Arabidopsis thaliana: one gene and its partners. The protein of the gene in region 1 interacts with the protein of each later gene in a pairwise test. Each region holds a gene or a part of one and is shown on either strand. Other genes may lie near its edges. The genes, in order: AT1G33100, UTR3, UBC32 and ACBP6.

What was found.
Region 2: the proteins of AT1G33100 (region 1) and UTR3 interact in a protein complementation assay, tested with the Arabidopsis thaliana proteins (one large-scale study listed by BioGRID).
Region 3: the proteins of AT1G33100 (region 1) and UBC32 interact in a protein complementation assay, tested with the Arabidopsis thaliana proteins (one large-scale study listed by BioGRID).
Region 4: the proteins of AT1G33100 (region 1) and ACBP6 interact in a protein complementation assay, tested with the Arabidopsis thaliana proteins (one large-scale study listed by BioGRID).

The regions. Positions count from the first base shown.
Region 1 is NC_003070.9:11,995,403-12,001,934, reverse strand, and holds AT1G33100 (MATE efflux family protein), read right to left. Parts: upstream 4,436-6,532; 5' UTR 4,253-4,435; coding exon 3,989-4,252; intron 2,949-3,988; coding exon 2,407-2,948; intron 1,962-2,406; coding exon 1,875-1,961; intron 1,700-1,874; coding exon 1,643-1,699; intron 1,513-1,642; coding exon 1,274-1,512; intron 1,172-1,273; coding exon 1,053-1,171; intron 970-1,052; coding exon 883-969; intron 708-882; coding exon 627-707; 3' UTR 514-626; downstream 1-513. Other genes in the region: AT1G33090 (MATE efflux family protein), read right to left, coding at 5,393-5,473, 5,587-5,673, 5,773-5,891, 5,996-6,234, 6,369-6,425.
Region 2 is NC_003070.9:4,910,567-4,915,126, forward strand, and holds UTR3 (UDP-galactose transporter 3), read right to left. Parts: upstream 2,602-4,560; 5' UTR 2,464-2,601; coding exon 2,360-2,463; intron 2,171-2,359; coding exon 2,073-2,170; intron 1,978-2,072; coding exon 1,847-1,977; intron 1,733-1,846; coding exon 1,702-1,732; intron 1,617-1,701; coding exon 1,513-1,616; intron 1,421-1,512; coding exon 1,299-1,420; intron 1,202-1,298; coding exon 796-1,201; 3' UTR 527-795; downstream 1-526. Other genes in the region: FLP (Duplicated homeodomain-like superfamily protein), read left to right, coding at 1-81. UniProt on the Arabidopsis thaliana protein: Essential sugar transporter required for the transport of UDP-glucose from the cytoplasm into the Golgi and the endoplasmic reticulum. Essential for pollen development and involved in embryo sac progress.
Region 3 is NC_003074.8:5,795,384-5,800,355, reverse strand, and holds UBC32 (ubiquitin-conjugating enzyme 32), read right to left. Parts: upstream 3,427-4,972; 5' UTR 3,061-3,426; coding exon 2,950-3,060; intron 2,462-2,949; coding exon 2,330-2,461; intron 2,232-2,329; coding exon 2,147-2,231; intron 2,008-2,146; coding exon 1,844-2,007; intron 1,327-1,843; coding exon 889-1,326; 3' UTR 609-888; downstream 1-608. Other genes in the region: AT3G16990 (heme oxygenase-like, multi-helical), read left to right, coding at 3,573-3,704, 3,791-4,008, 4,104-4,419; NRPB9A (RNA polymerases M/15 Kd subunit), read right to left, coding at 4,657-4,737, 4,874-4,972. UniProt on the Arabidopsis thaliana protein: Accepts the ubiquitin from the E1 complex and catalyzes its covalent attachment to other proteins.
Region 4 is NC_003070.9:11,410,223-11,413,969, forward strand, and holds ACBP6 (acyl-CoA-binding protein 6), read right to left. Parts: upstream 2,012-3,747; 5' UTR 1,878-2,011; coding exon 1,866-1,877; intron 1,413-1,865; coding exon 1,295-1,412; intron 1,191-1,294; coding exon 1,128-1,190; intron 996-1,127; coding exon 910-995; 3' UTR 544-909; downstream 1-543. Other genes in the region: FRL2 (FRIGIDA like 2), read right to left, coding at 2,763-3,747. UniProt on the Arabidopsis thaliana protein: Binds medium- and long-chain acyl-CoA esters with very high affinity. May function as an intracellular carrier of acyl-CoA esters. Confers resistance to cold and freezing.

The DNA of each region.
Region 1 (6,532 bases):
AGGCAAAGAAGTCTACGTAAGCAGTCGCGTCACTGTAGTATTAGATCGGTATTTCCTTACAAAAGCTGTCCTTTTTTCACAATCGATCAATCATCATCATGAGGTCACGAACATGAAAACATTTTTAAAGTCACCAAACAAATCCAAAAAACTGTAGTAACAAATGGAGTAAATTATATATATATGCATGGCCAAATTTACGTTTCTTGGTACTAACAATATTTTGGCTATGTTTACGGGCAAAGGAGACGATTCTAGTTCTACACACATAATGACATAATACAATAGAACACCGAGAGAAAAAGAGTATATATAACTCAAATTCAACACTAAGCTGATTATATTCAGATAAAAATCTCTAAGCTAAATCATGTCTTTGAGGTACTACGAAAATTGGAAGCTAAGAGGGCTGTTGCTACGGTGGTTCAGTTCAAGATTTAATGGACCGTAACGTGAAGGTCTGTTTTTTCTTTGTATGCTCTTGTTTTTGTGTAATTCACAAGCTCCTTAAAAACTTCTGTAAACAACCTTTATTTTTTATCAATTTTTTTTTTCACATTTCATAAAAAAGGAACATCATCATAATCTTTAAATCTATCATATCTTCATATCATAATCCAAATTAATTATTCCTCTGATGAAATTTGATTTGCATCTCTAGATTCTGGTACAACCCACCGGTTTATATTTCTCAACGACGTAGATACCTACAAAAAAGTGGCAACAAACAGTATAAGCTGCAATCCAAGAACATAGCTTGCTTGAACAAACTAATTATTATTTTTGCTAAGGAACAAACTTATTATTTTGGAAGGAGAAACTACAATTTTTTTTCTTAAACAAATTAATTCAGGGAATATTATATAGTAATCAACTTCTGACCTGTTGATCCCAATCTGTTCTGAGAGTCATGACGGTGAGCACACAAGTCTGAACGAATATTCCAAAAAGCATTCCTATCCATACACCCTTCAAAATTAAAGAAGTAAAGTTTTATGTTAGTTTTATTACTTTTCAACATAAAAGAAAAATATATAAACTGAAAAACTTACTTTCACTTGCAAACCAACAACATAACCAAGGATAACACCAATAGGAATTCCGACAAGGTAATAGCAAGCAAGGTTAACGTAAGCCACATATCCTTGCCATCCCGCTCCGATTGCCACTCCTGTTAAGGTTTTAAACCAATTATAGATAAATACTACTCCAAATATTGGTTCGAATCCGATACTATAATAACCATTACGCGTCAACTAGCTAAAATATATACCAGAGAGAACAGGTTGAACACTGTTCAAGAGGATGGAAAATGCTAAAAGTGGAGAAAGATCAGCAACTTCGGCCGCGACAGCTTCACTTGTAGTGAAAATGTAGGAAATTCTTCCCCTCAAAAACAAAAAAACGAAGAATAGAACTATTCCTATAGAGAGTGACGTGAAAACCGCTATCAATGTTGCAAACTTGGCTCCTTTGGGGTTTCCACTACCGAGCTCGTTGGACACTCTTACACTATTTATATAGATAATTACAAATAAGATGATATATAAATAAAAGATCATACCAAGAAAAAAAGATAATATAGAAATAGTATCAATAAAGTGAAGTGTGTTGTATATAATCTATATATGTATCAATGCACCTTACTGCTGCCAAAAACCCAAGTGCTATCATCATCTCCAGTGCATTTATGCTGATGCTGCGAAGATAAATGGAAAAGATTAGTCGATTTATAATATATTATTTGTATGTACCATTACTCATACAATACTATAACTTATGAGTCAAGTTAGTACTAAAGAAAATGTATTTATGTTTCAATGTTTTGTATGGAGATCAGAATAGATATAGAAGGTCAATTCTTGTTTATTTACCAGATTGCTAGTGCATCAAGAGCCACCTCTGCGTTTTTCAAATTTCCAGTGAGCAATACCAATACCGAGTTGTACCATAACTCCAAGCTGTAAAAAATAACGACCACAAAGTAATCATCATCAATTTTTAAAAAGATAAGTAAATTAGAAAGAAAAAAAAAAACAAAAGAAAAAAGTAACTAGAACTATCATTAAATTATCAGTGAATATAATATACTCCTAAAAGTAATTCACCAAAAAAAAAATATACTCCTAAAAGTGTGTATAATATACTCCTAACATTCTCAGGAGTATATGCGTAAATGTAACAGTCGGATCAAATCCTACAAGATTGATAATTATATTATATAGTTTACAGCCTGAAAACTAATACATGGACTAAGTATATGCATCAAGTGGAACCAATCTCTTGTTTTGACCAACAATGACAATGAAAACTAAAGCTATCAGTATGAAAACATTTGGTTGATCCACTACTAGCTAATTCCTTAATTAAGTGTTCAAAACACAAAACAAAAATAGGAAACCTTACCAAAGCATTCCACCGGAAGACAAAGATAGTTTTAAGACGGGCCACAAATCTTTGAAGGCCAACATAGAGAATCCTCTCCATGTATCCTTACATCCACCACATGTTACATACAAGAGCTGCACAATGATAGGCAACCAGAACGCAATTAGCATAGAGGTCATCGCACCAGTGATCCCAAAATTGAAATGAGCCACTAGGAGCCACGAGAAGAAGACATGGAGCCCTAAGGAGACAGCAGTCACGTAGGAAATAATCTTGTTCTTGCTCTGAGCTTGGAGAAACATTTGGCAAGTGAAGGAGGGCACGAAGGAGAAGTTGATGCCTATGACCCATAGGGCTAAGACCCGAGCCACACGAACAATGCGTTCCTCTTGACCTAAAGCTAAGAGGATAGGGCCCGCAAAGATGAAGACGGGCATGAGGCAAATGGTACCACCTGTGAGGACGATCCATGACCTTTGGAGGTAGATCCCGAGCATCTGGTATTGTTTGGCTCCGTAGGCTTGACCACATAATGTTCCTAGTGCACCGGCCATACCTAACTGCAGTAGAACAATAGTTATAACCAAATTTGAGACAGCTGTAGTTTTGCATTGTGTAGTTTCAAAATAAATGTTAACCGGAATTACATATCCAAAAAATACTCCAAAACCATATAAACTTATACAAATTTTAATTGAGTTTGATAATAGTTTCTTCACACGACCACCTAATCTGTATTAAAAATTCAAATAAGTGAGACCAAATTTTATAATATAGTTTTGGTCTAACTTATTTTGAAAACGTTTCGGAAACGCAAAAATTATTACGGAAACGCGTTTCCTAAAAATCCATGTTTGGAAACACGATGAAAACTCGCGTTTTTGAAATAGACATACGACAAATATTTTTTATTGACTTTGAAAATTTAATAACTAAAATTGGAAATATTAAGATTATTAATACATATAACTAATTTTGGAAAACTCTTAGTTTTAAGATTTTTTTCTTGATAAACCAGATTTGAAGAGAGTTTTATATTATCTTTGATGAAACTAATGAAAATAAGAATAAAAATGTTGGTCTAAATTAGATATTAAAATTTGAATCTTTTAAATTTTAATCTTTATCTTTTAGAATTTTAGTTAGCTTATTTAATATTGATAGTTTAGACTTATATTGTTTAAATCATTTTTTATTTAATATAGTTTTATGTATATATATATATATATTTATATGTTTTTAAAACGTTTCTAATCTCTAATTTTAATAAAAAATTGATTCCCGTTTCTGAAACGTTTCGCATCCGCGTTTCTGTTTCCGTTTCCATGCAACTTAGTTATAGCATAAATTCACCTACATGTTTTTTTTTTTTAATTTTCACCTACATGGTCTGACCTTGTAATATAGTTATTTCTTAATCACTAATAATCAAGAGATTAGATTAAATAAAAATTGAAGTAGTACTCACCACCACGATACCATTACTGAAGCGGAGAAGAATCCATAGTAATCAAGGGATTCATTAGATTAAATAAAATTGGAAAAATTGATATAAATGAAGCTACGTATACCATTACCAAGATCGCTATAGTAAACTCACCAAGATACCATTACTGAAACGGAGGAGAATGGTGAAGGTGATAGAGTAAGCGGCCAACTCGGTTGGGCCAAGATGGCCAATGAAAGCTTGAGTTACCATTGAAACTCCGAACGTAGAGTATCTTGTGAAGATCGCTGGCGCCGCCACAACCCACAGTTTCTTTGATTCAATCCAAACCTTCTCCTTCATCCCCAACTCATCCTCTTCTTCTCTGCCGGTCTTTTTCACCAGAGCCTCCGTGAGCTCTCCTCCTCTTCCGGCCATCGTGGAGTCTATGTGTTTTTATCTGATAGGAGGAAATAAATAGAAGAAAGAGAGAGCAGAGAGTTTGAGTTTAAGAAGCAATTTTTTTTATATTTCAGCTGGGAAACAAAAGGTCGTCAACGCCTTTTGTAGCAGTGAGTGACTAAGTGATGAAAATACTCTAAGAAATAGATGCATTTTAAGATCACCTAAGATCGTGCATTCATCGATCATTTGTTTAAATGCAATTATCTATAATTCATATCTAAACTTTATCTTTATATATGCTTAAAAAGTGTGTGTTTGGAAAGTATATTGGAATAAAACAAAATATTTTTATCAAAAATATAATTATTCATATACATATTTCTTGGTCGTGAGTCTCGTGTCTATGTGTTGCATAATAAACCCATTTAAAAAAAATAAAAATATAAAAAAAAAATCAAGAAACGAGCATATCAAACTACAATAGTCAAATTCTTGTTCTAAGCAACGTAAGCAATTACAATTTTTAGTGAATTAAGATTGTCGTATATATTTATTATGAGGATTTCCAGAATCAAACGTTTATTTTTCTTTGTCAAAATGAATCAATCAATTTAACGTTTTAGCCACGAAGATCTTTTAAAAATAATTACCAATATAATTTCTTTAAACATGTTTGTACTTTTCCTATGATAAACGAAGAAATTTCATTTTTTTTAAATGGTAATCAGTTTATAAAACATGATTATTTTAATCTCTTTTAGTGTCATCATAGTAGTAAGCACACAAATTTCCCCAAAATTCCAAAGGTACTCTCTTCTTTTTATTGGTCATACCCTAATTCGCACTATTTCAATAACTAGTATATCTCAAAATTCTACCAAAGTTTAATTTTACTATGAGTTAACATGTTGGTGAAATTAAAGAACTAAAAGGGATTTTATCTTTTAAATAGCTCATTAATAAATTTTAGTTATCCTCTTCTTTGATTATAATAAATTATATAGATTGTACTCTCTTTTTTCATTGTACCACAACAACAACAACAACAACAAAAAGCCTAATAAATTACCATCAAAATTTATTTCATATTGAAAATCTGAGTTAGAAAGAACTATTGCCCAAAATAACATCATAATTATATAATATCTTTGTTCATATCATAATCCAAACGAATTATTCCTCTGATGAAATTTGATTTGCATCTCTAGATTCTGGTACAACCCACCGGTTTATATTTTTCAACGACGTAGATACCTACAGAAAAAAGTGGCAACAAACAATATAATTAAGCTCCAAACCAATAACATAGCTTGCTTGAACAAACTAATTATTTTGGAAGGGGAAACTACAATTTTGTTTATTTAAACCTGTTGATCCCAATCTGTTCTGAGAGTCATGATGGTAAGCACACAAGTCTGAACAAATATTCCAAAAAGCATTCCTATCCATACACCCTTCAAAAAAAGATAAGTAAAGTTTTATGTTGTTTTCAATTGTTAATTTTATTACTTTTGTTCATTATGAAGAAAAAATATATAAAGAGAAAAACTTACTTTGACTTGCAAACCAACAACGTAACCAAGGACAAGACCAACAGGAATTCCGAGAAGGTAATAGCAAGCAAGGTTAATGTAAGCCACATATCCTTGCCATCCCGCTCCCACTGCCACTCCTGATAAGGTTTGAAACCAATTAAAGGCATATACTACGTTTCAAATATCAGTTCGAATTCGATACGATGATAACCATCACGCTTGAACTAGCTAATGTATATACCTGAGAGAACGGGTTGAACACTGTTCAAGAGGATGGAAAATGCTAAAAGTGGAGAAAGATCAGCGACTTCGGCTGCCACAGCTTCACTTGTAGTGAAAATGTACGAAATTCTTCCCCTTAGAAACAAGAAGACGAAGAATAGAACTAATCCTATAGAGAGTGACGTGAAAACCGCTACGATTGTTGCAAATTTGGCGCCTTCGGGGTTTCCCCTACCGAGCTCGTTGGACACTCTTACACTATATATAGAGATAATTACATAGAAGAGTGATATATAAATAATATTAAGATCATACCAAGAAAAAAAAAGATAAGATATAATTAGTATCAGTGAAGTGAAGTGTATCTGTGTATAGTATATATATCAATGCACCTTACTGCTGCCAAAAACCCAAGTGCTATCATCATCTGCAGTGCATTTACGTTGATGCTGCAAAAAAGAAATGGAAAAGATTAGTCGATTTGTAAAATATTATAATTTGTATGTTACTCTATTTATACTCATACCATATTTTAACTTAAGAGTCGAGTTAGTAT
Region 2 (4,560 bases), 7.1 Mb from region 1:
ATCGAGTCCTCATCTCCATGTCCAAGTGCTAATCCTTCAAAACCACCCCCTTGCAAAAGAGTCCTTCTCCATAGCTTGTAAACCAACCAACCATCTCTCTCATACCCTAAACCGCGGTTTAGTCTCCATGGAGACGTAATTTTTTCCACTTTTGCTTAGATTTCATATTAGGTTTTGCAGCCATATCGGCCTGGAAGTTTTTGTGAAGCGGGCATGCCATGATCTGCATTCCTCCCTCAAGGTTTTTAAGTTTCTTTCCTGGTCCTAGAATGTTAACGGTAACATTTTCTAGCCCCATCAAAGAATGTTCTCAAGAATCTGCCATATACTCAGATTCAGATTTCTCTTTCTTTTCTTACTTAACATAAGGAAGCCATCTACAAAAGAAGGCACCAGTGTGTCTTTAAGAAAAAATTCTTTGGTTTGTCTCTAAGGGCTTTACTCAGATACATCATCTGAGCATTTTCCCCAGATTTCTTGATTTGTTTTCATCATCTCTGTACAGAATCTCTATCACATATATATAAAGAAGTTTTCCAGAGTGTAACTTTAGGAAAAATGAAAAACTCAGAAGGAAGAGTTTGTTGTATTGTTAAGACAAATATATATGAGTGGAAATATATGATTTGTCTTTTGGTTTGATATATATAAGTTTCTTCTAATGCATTAGTTTACATTTTGCTAATGGACTAAGCTTTCTTCTCTCTAACTTTCAGACATATTTGGAAGTAAAAAGTTTCCAAATCAAAAACAATTTTCTTGAAGAATTAAATATTTTGATCCCCAATCTCAGCTTCAGGCCTTTTTCTTCTTCTGCATTCTCTGCAGCTTCCTCCATTTCAGGTAAATTTGGTAAGACAATCCACCGAACACCATCGACACACATCCCCATTGTTTGGAAGATAACGGATTCCCGCTCAAAACTGAAGATACCACGATGCTTACAAACTTCCTGGTTGTGGTTATGGTCGTGTTAGCTAGAGACCCGAATCTGCTTATTGTCAAGAAGATGAAGTTTTGGCCTACTGCACCGCATAAACAGTACATAAGAATGTCCCATGCTGCCTCAGGGTGTTGCTTGCAGAACTGCACAGCTTCAAATCCGCTCCCATGTGGCAATCCAAACATGTAGACCATGTTGTATATGGTTCCCCATAAATTCATTCCCAGCATTATGTCCCATGCGTTAGTTTTGGGGTACCTGTATCCATGTATGGCGATGATTAATGTCCAACATCTAGACCATGTTGTAGATGTCAGACTGGGTTAAGTATCTGACAGAATGTCAAGAGTCATACCTTGCGGTAATGGAATCCTGGGTTGCGTTTGTGAATCCATCAAAGGCAAGGTTTAAGAAGCAAAGCCCGTAACCAAGGGGTGCATTGGGATGTGCTAGCTTGCTGATGGTTTTAGAGCTTGTCTGTAAACCAAGTCAAAGACGGTTTACTACATTTCCACAGACAAAGTATAACAAAGATTATGATCAAAGTTCCTGAATGCAGATTTGCCTACCTTAAGAAGGGCAAACATAGATACTCCTCCGGCAACAAGAAAGGTGCAAAGATACTCAGGCAAAGTGTATCTTATGCCATAAACTAAGGAGCCCATCAGCATAACTACATGAAAGAAAAAACATATATAAGATACACATAGCAGCAGTTGAGAGCGATTATGGATTGATGCTCTAAATTGACACCTCACCTGGAATCATTTTGGAAGATTTTGCAAGGACCTGCAAGAAGCAAGTTTTGCATCAATATTACTTCCCAAGAAAGGTTATTACCTCAACTATCAACCATAATCAAGAAAAATGAGGTTTTTATTACACTAACAATGCCTAATTTACCTGAGCTGGGTAACTAATATACTTTAAAGCTTCAATGCCCATAGCAGGACCAATGGTATTAGTAATGCCAGCACTCCAATACGTCCACCATGGGGCTCCACCAGAACCTCCGTTGGACCAGAGCTTAATCACTGCTCATAATCAATCAAAAATACTTCAGTTCCATTTATTCGTCTGTTATAAACTTATAATTCTAAGGAATAAACAATGAAGATGCCCTACTCACTTATATAAGACCAAACCAAGCAGATTACATTCTGAGCCAAATTCAGAAATGCAAGATGCTCGAATCTCTTCCCATCTTCACCAAATTTCTTCGTCGACCTAATTCGAAAATGTTAGAGTTCTATCAGCTACATTTCTATAAATTTCCAATAATTGCAAACGCATCACCAACCAGGATTCCGAGAATAGAAACAATCTCGAACAAACAGAATCGAGCAATGTCGAGAGAAAATAATCAACGAGCTAAAATAAGATTGATCGATTTCGACCCTAACGAGTTTTACTTACAAGGTCTCTTGAAGAATGCCTTGGTATATGTAAGCTGCCCAGATCCCAGCGACACAGAACGACAATAACAGAACTCGCCGGAGACCGGAACCGTGAGATTCCATCGCCGCACGTCGCTTATTGTTTTATCCGACGGAGCTCCGGCGAAAATTTGAATTTCAATTTTACGCTATTTGATCAGTTTTGCGATCAAATTATGAGATCGGTCTGAAGTGGAAACGAAAGTTATTAGAGAGAGTGTAGGAGGCGCGAGAAAGACGTAGATTTTCCACGTGTAACTGTGTCATTGGCTTAATAATCTGACATGACACTTCTGATTGGCTATAGGACGTGGATTTATTTCTGGAATCCAAGTCATATGCACATTCATGTCTGAGATAGGAATGGGAACTATGTGCCGTTTTATTGTCATGAAAACGTCACGCAGTTTCCTAGAACTTGTAAACGGATGTTCTTTTTACAGCTTGGGCCTTAATTTGATTAAGCAAACTTGCACACAGCTAATCATGTCAGTTTGACTAACTGATGAATTCATACAAATCTAAGATCACTTGTGGTAAGAAAATGAAAGAAAAAGGCGTATATACACAAATGGAGGAAAGTTGCCAACATGATTTAATTGATTAAAATTTAGTGATGACCCATTGTTAAGATTACTAAAACAAAATATGATATATCTTAAAGTAAATGTGACAATAACGTCAACATAGCGAGAAAAGTTTGAAATATCGAATTTCCATTATATTAAAACAAGGTATCACATGCATGCACTCATGCATAGTTCATTATGATTTGAGTAATTTTCTATACGAATAATATTATACTATATCTCAATGAAAATAGAAGTTATATATATTGGGAAACGGAATTTATATGACATACTTAATCCTCATGGGAGAACCAATTATACATTTTGAAGAGTCAAAAGTCAAAACTCAAAAGAGTGACTCTTACCGGATACAAAATGAAAATAGAAGTCTTGGTGAGATAACAAATTAATGTGTAACATAACAATATAATATCATAAAAGATTCCAAATGGGGCTTTTGTCCACACGTGATATGCAATATGCAAAAGAAAAAAGAACTCTCTTTCGATCTGCCGGTCAATAACAATGTGAATATAGATTAACTGATTAATAAGTAGTTTCTTGGGTCAATGCATGGGATATTATATTTAAGAAATACACCAAAAATGTATTCGACGTTAGCCACCACGTTCCATTAAAAATTCAAATCTAAATGATGATTACCGTCGTCTACATCTATGATTACAAATTTTTTGTCTACTATGCGTTTAGTTATTTACCATGGTTTGACGATTATATATATAACACACATAAATTATGACGGTTTAACGTTGTCTCTTAACTCAAAACTTAATTTTACAAAAATATTATTTAAGAGTTGAATCTCATACTTTAATTATTCATTTGGTCAACTAGAATGCGAAAAATCCACAATACTTCGTAACTAATTTCGGGTCCTTTAAATCTTGATCACCTGTTGATCAACAAAAGATCTACACATAAAGATTGATTCATCCATTGACTAAACTTTTATTTATCGAAGAAAGACTATATATATCTAATGCATGCATGCCATATGCACAATAATCTAATAGTAAATCCAATACGTCTCAGAAAGATAAAATCGTCCATAATACCAAATTTTATTCTAAGGTTTTGATATCTCTCATAATTTGGAAGTGTATGTAAAAGTTTCTTAAACATAAATATAACATCCAAAGAAAAGTTGTAAACACTTAACATCTTGATTGAAGGGGAATCTCGCTAATAATTGTGACTGAACGATAGTAAGTATTATTGTAAAATATCGATCAAAATTTCAACGATATGGGCGATCCAGACCCACCACTTTGTTGTCCCTTAGCAGACGTCAACCATGACCATAATTAGTTAAAAAAAACACCAAACAAAAACCACAACTTCCTTTTAATTCTTTTTAAATTCTAAATTTCAGACTAACAAAAAGTATTCATAAGCTGTTTCATGTATGAATTTAATATCATGAATACTAATAACTTGAGCCATTAACTTTAACCAAAAAAAAAAACTTGAACAATCTAATATAATTCCCTGTAACATTTAAAAGATGGAGATGGGAAAACAAGAATTCTAAAGAAACATTGTAAAAATGAAACAGAGACAAATATTTTCAAGCAAGTCTTGTTTCATTTCA
Region 3 (4,972 bases), on another chromosome or scaffold:
TATAAATGGGCAAAAGTGAGTATCCAAATATGTATGCTTCTTTTCATTAAAAACGAGTCAAGGTTATAATAGTGGAAAAAGCAGTCACGTTCCCATAAATCAAAGTGTTTTTTTATTTTATAGTAATAGGCAGATGAAACAATTGCTGTTAAAAATCTGACTTCAAAGACACGCAAAAGCAGTGTTTGCTAGTTTTAGTACCTGAGGATCCCTGAGCAATAAGGACTGATAGACTTTTAACTTAGCTTCTTTTGCCACCATCCCTTCTTTTTTAAAAAAATATTATTTTCATTACGATCAACTTCATTTATTAATTTGAACCTTCGGTAACTTTTTCTCTTTTTAACGTTATATGGCAGTCAAAGGTCAAAGTTGATAACCTTTTCTAAACTGAAAAGTAAAAAAATAAGGTACAAGATGAGATCACACCAAACTAATGTGTGCAGAAGATACCCCAAAACTAATATGTTTCTGTAATTTATAATGAAAATACACACAAATATATAAACCACACGACTCACTACATGTGTGTTCATATACATACATATATGATCAAATTGTTAAACTTGACCATGAAATCTATTGATTTAAAAATTTGGATACATTTTAGACATCATGTACTCAAAACGGGAAATAGTTATGAACATAGTGGAGGTAATCAACAATTCTATTAACAAAGCATCAATGTATTGATAAAACGGTCGTCAGTGTTCAATTCCAAAATACATATTGTTAACTTGGTCACAAGCTATAATCCAATCTATCAACTAAGTTGCAAGACAATGTCACACAGAAATTATTTACGCCATTATGCACTTTAATTATATTTATAAAATATTAAACAACACAACCCCATTTCTTAAACGCAGCATTGACTTTCATCAGAGTTCAAGACTGATCATCCATAAACCCAGTACTGTAACCATTTGATTTTATGAACTTCTTCAGAAGAAGAACCATGATAGCGATTGTGAGCCCAACCGCCGCCCACGTGAAGAGTCTGTCATCGACTGGCTTCTGAGCCGCTCTTCTGGCCATCCTTTGCTCACCACTTACAGAAGCTTTGACCACAACTTCAACCGCTGGTAAAGGTGCTGCAGCGGGAACCACACTAGCTGCTGTATTGACTGCTTCAGCTGTCTCTTCTATGATTTGATCATCAACTATGGTGTCTGTTGTAGCGATGGACCGCTCTTCTACTACAGTTATCGCTTCCTGTGGCTCAACTTGGGAGTGAGCTTCTGATACGATGGAAGGTGCTTGGCTACATTCCAGAGGAAGAGGTTTTGGAACCACGGTTGCTTTGCTAAGGATGTACTGATGAATCTGCGCTTGTTAAAAGGTCATGGTTACTAAAAGTTTTTTCCAAAATTGAAGATGAATCAGAGGTATGAAACTAAAGTCATAACAAAAATCATGAAGAAAGGGACGAGAGTTTAGACCAAAAGGAGATTGTTAACACTACTATTGTCTTTTTTTTTATATTTGTGCAACTGACTACTTTTTAAAAACGACAATAATCAGTAAAATGGTGTGTTAGGACTTGAGCAGCAAATTTTACTGTATGGAGAGAATAATAACAGCTGTGATTGCAGTTAAAACAAAGCAGATACTCTTAGAGCAAACATTAAATCATAACCGCTAGAGATATGCAAGCCTAATATATAATATATTGCGATCCCGTTTTGACCACCAGCTAGTCCTATGGTTTATAATGATGCAATGCAATGGTATGGCACATACTCTACAGGTTCAGCAAGCATCTAGCTAAATTCATATATTTTCATCAGGATATTATGCATAGTGGTTCAACACCCAAGGGTATTCTAGTGGGGAACTATACCTCATCAATAATTTTTTGCCGTTCAGGAGAGCCATACTTAGGTGGTGTCTCACGTGATTTAATGGCTAGTGTACGTCTCTCATCCTTTGGATAATCTACTGAGCCCAGTGCTCCATTGGGACTTGTGGGCATAAATGCAATGAGAGCCACCAAAGCAGTCCGAACTGAAAAGAAACAAAGCTCAATCATAATACAAAAGAGCTGATATAGTTCAACCTCATGTAAATTACAAGTGTCTGAGTAATCTTTTAGGAAACAACATAAAAGTCAAGAGATAAGGTCTCTTGAGATCCATGACTTTACCACTCCATGAAGGTTGCCAATGCTCAGGGTGGTAGTTTGAAATGCTCAAGCAAATCTTGGTGTTAGTTTCAAAGCGCCCGTTAGGCTGAAACAAAAGTACAGAGATTCTTTAGATACATACTCTCTTATGGAACTTGCAACATCTGTGTGTTTTTATATATGAAATAAGAGTAAGATCCTTACGGTCAATAACATGAATGAAGGAGGTTTGAATGGATAATCTGCAGGCAACTGAATTCTCCCATGATAAATCCCGCCCTCGAATTCAGTATCACCAGGACCTCGGATGGCGAATTGCCACTCAAAGATATTCTCCTGAAGTTAAAAGATAGATAAGAGTAATCATGTAAACTATTTGGTATCACACAAGAACTTGTAAAAAACAGCTATAACATCGCGCGCAATCTATTTGGACCATGACATGTTGGAAAAAGTCTTCACAGTTAAAAAAATTAGAAACGAAGAACTAGTATGACAGCTGAGTGGATCAAGGAATCGTTCGTAATCTTCCCCACTTGACTCAGTTATTCCAATAAAAACACAAAAATCCAAACTTTATCTGTTGCACGAGTGTTGAAAGTAGAGAGACTTAGTAAATTCAGTGTATACAAGAAGATATATCGATCCTCCCTAATCATGATCGCCTAAAATCAAACACCATCACTCAGAACAGATACACAATTACAACACAACACAACATAACACAACAACATAAGACAAGGGGATTTTCTCAAAAAAGGAAATTTCAAATATAGATTCGAATCAAAATTCCCGATCTAAAAAGCTAGAATCGGAGATGTTACCTCAAGAGGAAGAGACATAAAATCATCAGACGGATTAGCTTGCATCTCCTTAACCTCCTGCAAAATCCTCTTCACCGCCGGATTCTTCCGATTATACCTCTCATCCGCCATCTTATTTATCCCCACGAGATCTTGCCGGAAGTGCAATCCGCCGCCGGAGTTCTCTCTGTCCGATTCGTCTTAACAGAAAATAATAAATACACAAAATTAGAATTACCACATGGCTTCGGGAGATGAGCTAATTAGTACGGTGATATAATACAAACACACAAAATTAATTCCAAAACATTTTCCACGTCACACTCTTTAACGACGGATACGTGACGTGAGAGAGCTTCTGAGTAAGTGCCACGTAATTAATAAACTTTAGTCATCCAAACATCTCAACGGTTCAGAAACTGTCACGTAATCTGAGAAATTTAAGCGCCTCTTTACAGCCGTCGATTTGGGAGAATCATTAAGCTATCGTGGCGAGACTTTAATAGGCCTTGGCCCATTAATTTAAAGCCCAATGAAACGTGCACGTCACAGACAACAGAAAATCAAAGCGTTGACAGTGAATCGGTGAAGAAGAAGAGTCTTGAGTCTTGAGTCTTGAGAGAAAGGAAGAAGAAGCAATTTCAATGGAGAAGAGAGGGGTGATCGACACATGGATTGATAAGCACCGTTCGATCTATACGGCGGCTACACGTCATGCTTTTGTCGTCTCGATCCGTGACGGATCCGTTGATCTCTCGTCCTTCAGAACTTGGCTGGTACTGTAATTAGTAATTACTGATGAAAACAAGGCAAAATATGAAATCTCACTCGATGACTTTTAAACGACGTTGTTTCCTTGTAGGGGCAAGATTATCTGTTCGTGAGGAGGTTTGTGCCGTTTGTAGCGAGTGTGTTGATCAGAGCTTGCAAAGATTCCGGCGAGAGTTCCGATATGGAAGTGGTGCTTGGTGGTATAGCATCGTTGAATGATGAAATAGAATGGTTTAAAAGAGAAGGATCGAAATGGGATGTTGATTTCTCGACCGTTGTGCCTCAAAGAGCTAATCAAGAATATGGCAGGTTATTGATTTCATATATGCTGATTGAATAGATTTCTCACACTCGAAAATGAAATTAGGAACCAGCAAATAAACCGGAGTTTCTGGTTAATTCAGGTTTTTGGAAGATCTGATGAGCAGTGAGGTGAAGTATCCGGTGATTATGACAGCTTTCTGGGCAATTGAAGCAGTGTATCAAGAGAGCTTTGCTCATTGTTTAGAAGACGGGAACAAAACTCCGGTGGAGCTTACCGGTGCTTGTCATCGTTGGGGGAATGACGGGTTTAAACAGTATTGTTCGTCTGTCAAGAACATTGCCGAACGTTGTCTGGAGAATGCCTCCGGTGAGGTGCTCGGTGAAGCTGAAGATGTACTTGTACGAGTTCTTGAACTAGAGGTTGCCTTCTGGGAGATGAGCCGTGGAGGACAGTAGCTAATGTTTGGGTTTGAATTTCTCATTTCCTCTAAATGCCAAAGAGAAACAAGTTCCAATCTTTATGTTTGGTGAAACACAAGTTGAGATTATGGTTTCATAACAGATTACATGAATACGGATTTGTCTCTGACTGGGGCAGAAGGTTGTTCCCGTCATTCCACATATTACACTTACTGGTAACTACATCAACTCCTAAAACTCTTAAGAACTCACCAATTGAAACCGAAAAGCTCTTTATTCTCTCCAGCGATGACCACAATTCGGGTTGCAACAGACAAAGAACAGTGTCATTCCTTCTTCACCTCTAGCCGTAGCCTGCACATTCAATGATAGCTACATTAAATCCTCAAGCGGTGTACAGAATTTGAGCATAATGTTTTGGGGAAGCAAACAGTGAAGATACAGCATAACCAAGTAGTTAAATAAATAATGGAGCTTAAGAGAGTTATACCTGGAAGAAAACGGCCTCCCTATGCTGACACTTAGAGCAACGCACAGCCTTGGTTCGGGGAAGAGTAGGGTCAGAAGCCACGTCTGTTAAGATCTGAGT
Region 4 (3,747 bases), 590 kb from region 1:
TTTGAATTAATTGTTGAATTATGGTTCACATCTTCAACATTATCTTCAAAAACCTCCTACAAAAATGTATATATAGATTAATTATTTCACTTATATTAAAATATATAAAAGAATTTGTTATGTTAAAGTGCATATACTATATATTTATATCGTTTAATTTTCAATTGAAAAACACAATGCATTTAATATAAAAATTCTAGATGTATAATTTTGATAAAGAGATTATCATAATACTAAATATTAGTATGTTCAACATACAATTAATTATTTTAATATTCTACAATATTATTTAATTTCTTGAATCACGGTTAAGAGATTATCATTAAGGGAAGGAAGTTAATCTACAATCAATAAAAAATAAAAGTAATTATGATCAACTCAATAAAAAAACTATTGTTTTTGTCATCTACCAAATTATAAACCTCAAATTTGTAGACACTTTAAAACTAAACGTCTATTTATTTACGAATTTGACTTTAAATAAACCACATACAATTTGAACAATTCTGCCAATGTTCGAGACGAAAAAAATAAATAAAAAATCTGCCACGTTCTTTTTTTTTCCAGCTTTTGTCTTATGTACTCCAAATTGAAATAAAACGAAAGTTTTCTAGTGAGTGGTGAATGCGATGGACCATGAAGAAAAAGACCTACGGACCAGAACGAATATATCATCTTGAATTCAACTGTTTTAACTAAGACCATATCGAGGACGGACCAAAAATAACTTATGGATTTAGTTTGCATCATGATTCTCTGTTTTAACCAATATCAAGCATTTTTAAGAGATCACACCATGTCACAAAGTAGATAGCTTAAATATGATAGAAACACAAGAGCAAGAACAAGTCTTATGCAATGTTATTTTGATGCTTAAGATAAAGTTACTGCAGATGAGGATTTGATTCATCAGGTTGAAGCCTTGGAAGCAGCAACTTCCAAGAGTTGCTTGACCTTAGTGATATAGTCATTCATGGCTTCTTCCGATGATTTCCCTGACATCATAAACAAAGAAAAGTTCAAATTCAATTCCCCAAGCACAAAAAATTGTTGAACTTGAGACAAGAATCCAAATTACAAACAAATCACTAAGCTAAAAAAGTTGATCACTTGAATTGTTTTTGTACCTTCAACAGCCTTCCAAGCATCCCACTTGGCTCTCTCCTTCATGCTGAACATTCCAGGACGACCTTTGAATCAATCAATAAACAAATACACATTATTAACAACATTACAGAAAAGTGAACTAAGAAGCAAAAATAGAGGATGTTAATATTCAGACAAAAATATTAACTGGTGTCCACAGGCCCAAACTTGGCTTGCTTGTAGAGTCCGTAGAGAATGAGCAAATCCTCGTTGGATGGCAACTCCGTGAGCGTATTCACTTTCTCAGCGTGCTCCTCAAATTCCTCCTGCAGATATATAAATCAGTGAAACAACAAATTCGAAGAAAAGATTCTTAATAGCCTAATACACCATCAAACATATTACTACTTAAAATTCTCAATCGGGATACAATAATCAAACAAAACTCAATAAAACCAAACCTAGCTCAGATTCAAAACTATATTACCCATCAGCAAACAGTGTTTAACAAATCAGTTATAAGAACAGTAAATGGACAAAATCATACAGAGAAAAAGCGTGATCAGTAATAATTCAATTCCATAAAGTGATCATTCTTGACTATACAAGCTTCAATTTCGTAACTATAAGGAACCTATATATCTGCAAATCTGGATCAAACAAGGCTACCAACACAGAAAATATAGAATTCAGGAATGGTGAACACAAACAAAACTAAGATCCGAGTAGTAATAAACCGAAACCGAGATCGGTTTGGTTCATTTTGGATCTGAACGTACCTTCAAACCCATGATGAATAGACGTCGGAAGTTGAGATTGGTAGGAGAATTAAATCAGTGTAAGACGGAGAAGACGAGGACAACGCGTGAGATATATATGGGCGTCATGATAAACCTCTCAGGCCCATAAGCCATAACTATTAAATATTTTCTTTAAAGGAAATAAATATTTTTAGAGATAGATACTGTATACGTGGATTCAGACACCCCGTTGATTGGCTTATTCTGATCAGTATGGGTACAACTGTAAAACAAAGAACATGTTCTGTTTTTTCTTTTTTTTGCTCATCGAACATGTTCCTTCTCCATTGAAATGACAATATTAATTTTCTGTTCCATCAGAAAAACCATAAGCATATCCTTTTGTAAACTTAAATAGTTTAATGAAAAAAAAACTATTTCTGTTTCTGTGCTAGTTGAATATTATCCTTTGGATCATTTTAGATATCCAGACACGTAGATTTCTTCCCACTACAACAAATCAAACCAAAAGGGATCTTTGGTGATTATAAGAAAAAAGGGAGGAAATCTTGGAAGATTACCTAACAAATCAAGGAATATAAATGTTAGATCAAAACCATAAAGACCATTCCTCCACAAGTAAACTAAACTAAATTAAAAAGAGGTTAAGGTTAGGTTATAAAACTGTACAATCAAGGCAAAATCCTCTATAGTCGCTTCACCAGGTAAACAAAAAAAGAAAAAACGGATCAATTTGCTCTTATGTTATCCCCCAAACAGCGACTATATCAAGTGTTATCTATGTCAAAACTCTCGAAATTTACTTGATATTCATTACTGAACATCAAAAACACATAGAGAGCATAGACCTGTTCGAGCAGAAATCTTCTCAATATCGCTTGCATTCCTATAATAAATCTTACCAATAGAGAGATGCTACTGAGGATAGTACGGTGGGCGGTACTGAGGTGGTGGCATCCCATAACCAGTTTGCTGCACATAAAAGACGGGTCGAGAAGCTGGAGCTGGAACCGAGCCAAATAGAGCCCTTGGGTTGCCATATGGGACAGCAACACCAGGAAGTATTGAGCTTAAAAGACCATATGGGTTCACTTGTAAAATCTGACTAGGAGTAGGCAAAAGTGGTGGTTGTTGTTGCGGCCTCAGAGGTGGGATTGTCAAATTATATTCCATACTTGAACCATTAGCAACTCGAGGACGCTTATTATCGACCTTTTGTTCTTGTGGTTGTTGGGGATTAGCAGGTGAATTGAACTTAGTGGCACGCTTCCTCTGAGCTTTCTGATCCTCCAACTCCTTAACACATTCTTCGAGTTTCTCTTCCATGAACTCGGACTCGATGTTTTTCTCTTTCACGACTTTGATAACTGCTCTCAAAGCACTTAGTTCTTTATCAGTAGCTTCGTTCTGCACCTTAAGAGAGTAATTCCCTTCAGCACAAACTCTCTTAGCAGCTTCTCTAGAGTTCTTCAAACTAGTTTTCAAAATCGAAACTGGTTCAAATTCACCCACCATCTCATTCTCGTAAATGAATCTAATAGCAACAAGTAATCTCCCAGTATCCAAAAACTTCTGAACGAGAACTCCTATTCGATTTCTATCTAAACCAATCTTCTTGCAGATCGTTGTTGCTTGTTTATACTTAGAGATCAAGAAAATGTAATCACAAATCTCCTCAGTACTAAATAAAGACCCTAATTCAAAAGCTGCAACCAAATGCAAAAACCCTAACGCTTCTGATGGTTTGTTACCTATATTTGGTTTCCAATCATAAGCAATAGTCCTAGCTCTTTCTCTCAAATCATTCGTGAGATTCGCATTGATCTCAATCAAAGCTTCTAATAACAAAACGAAGATCCTCTTCACATCGATCGCTCTCGCCGAGGAAGACGACGATGGT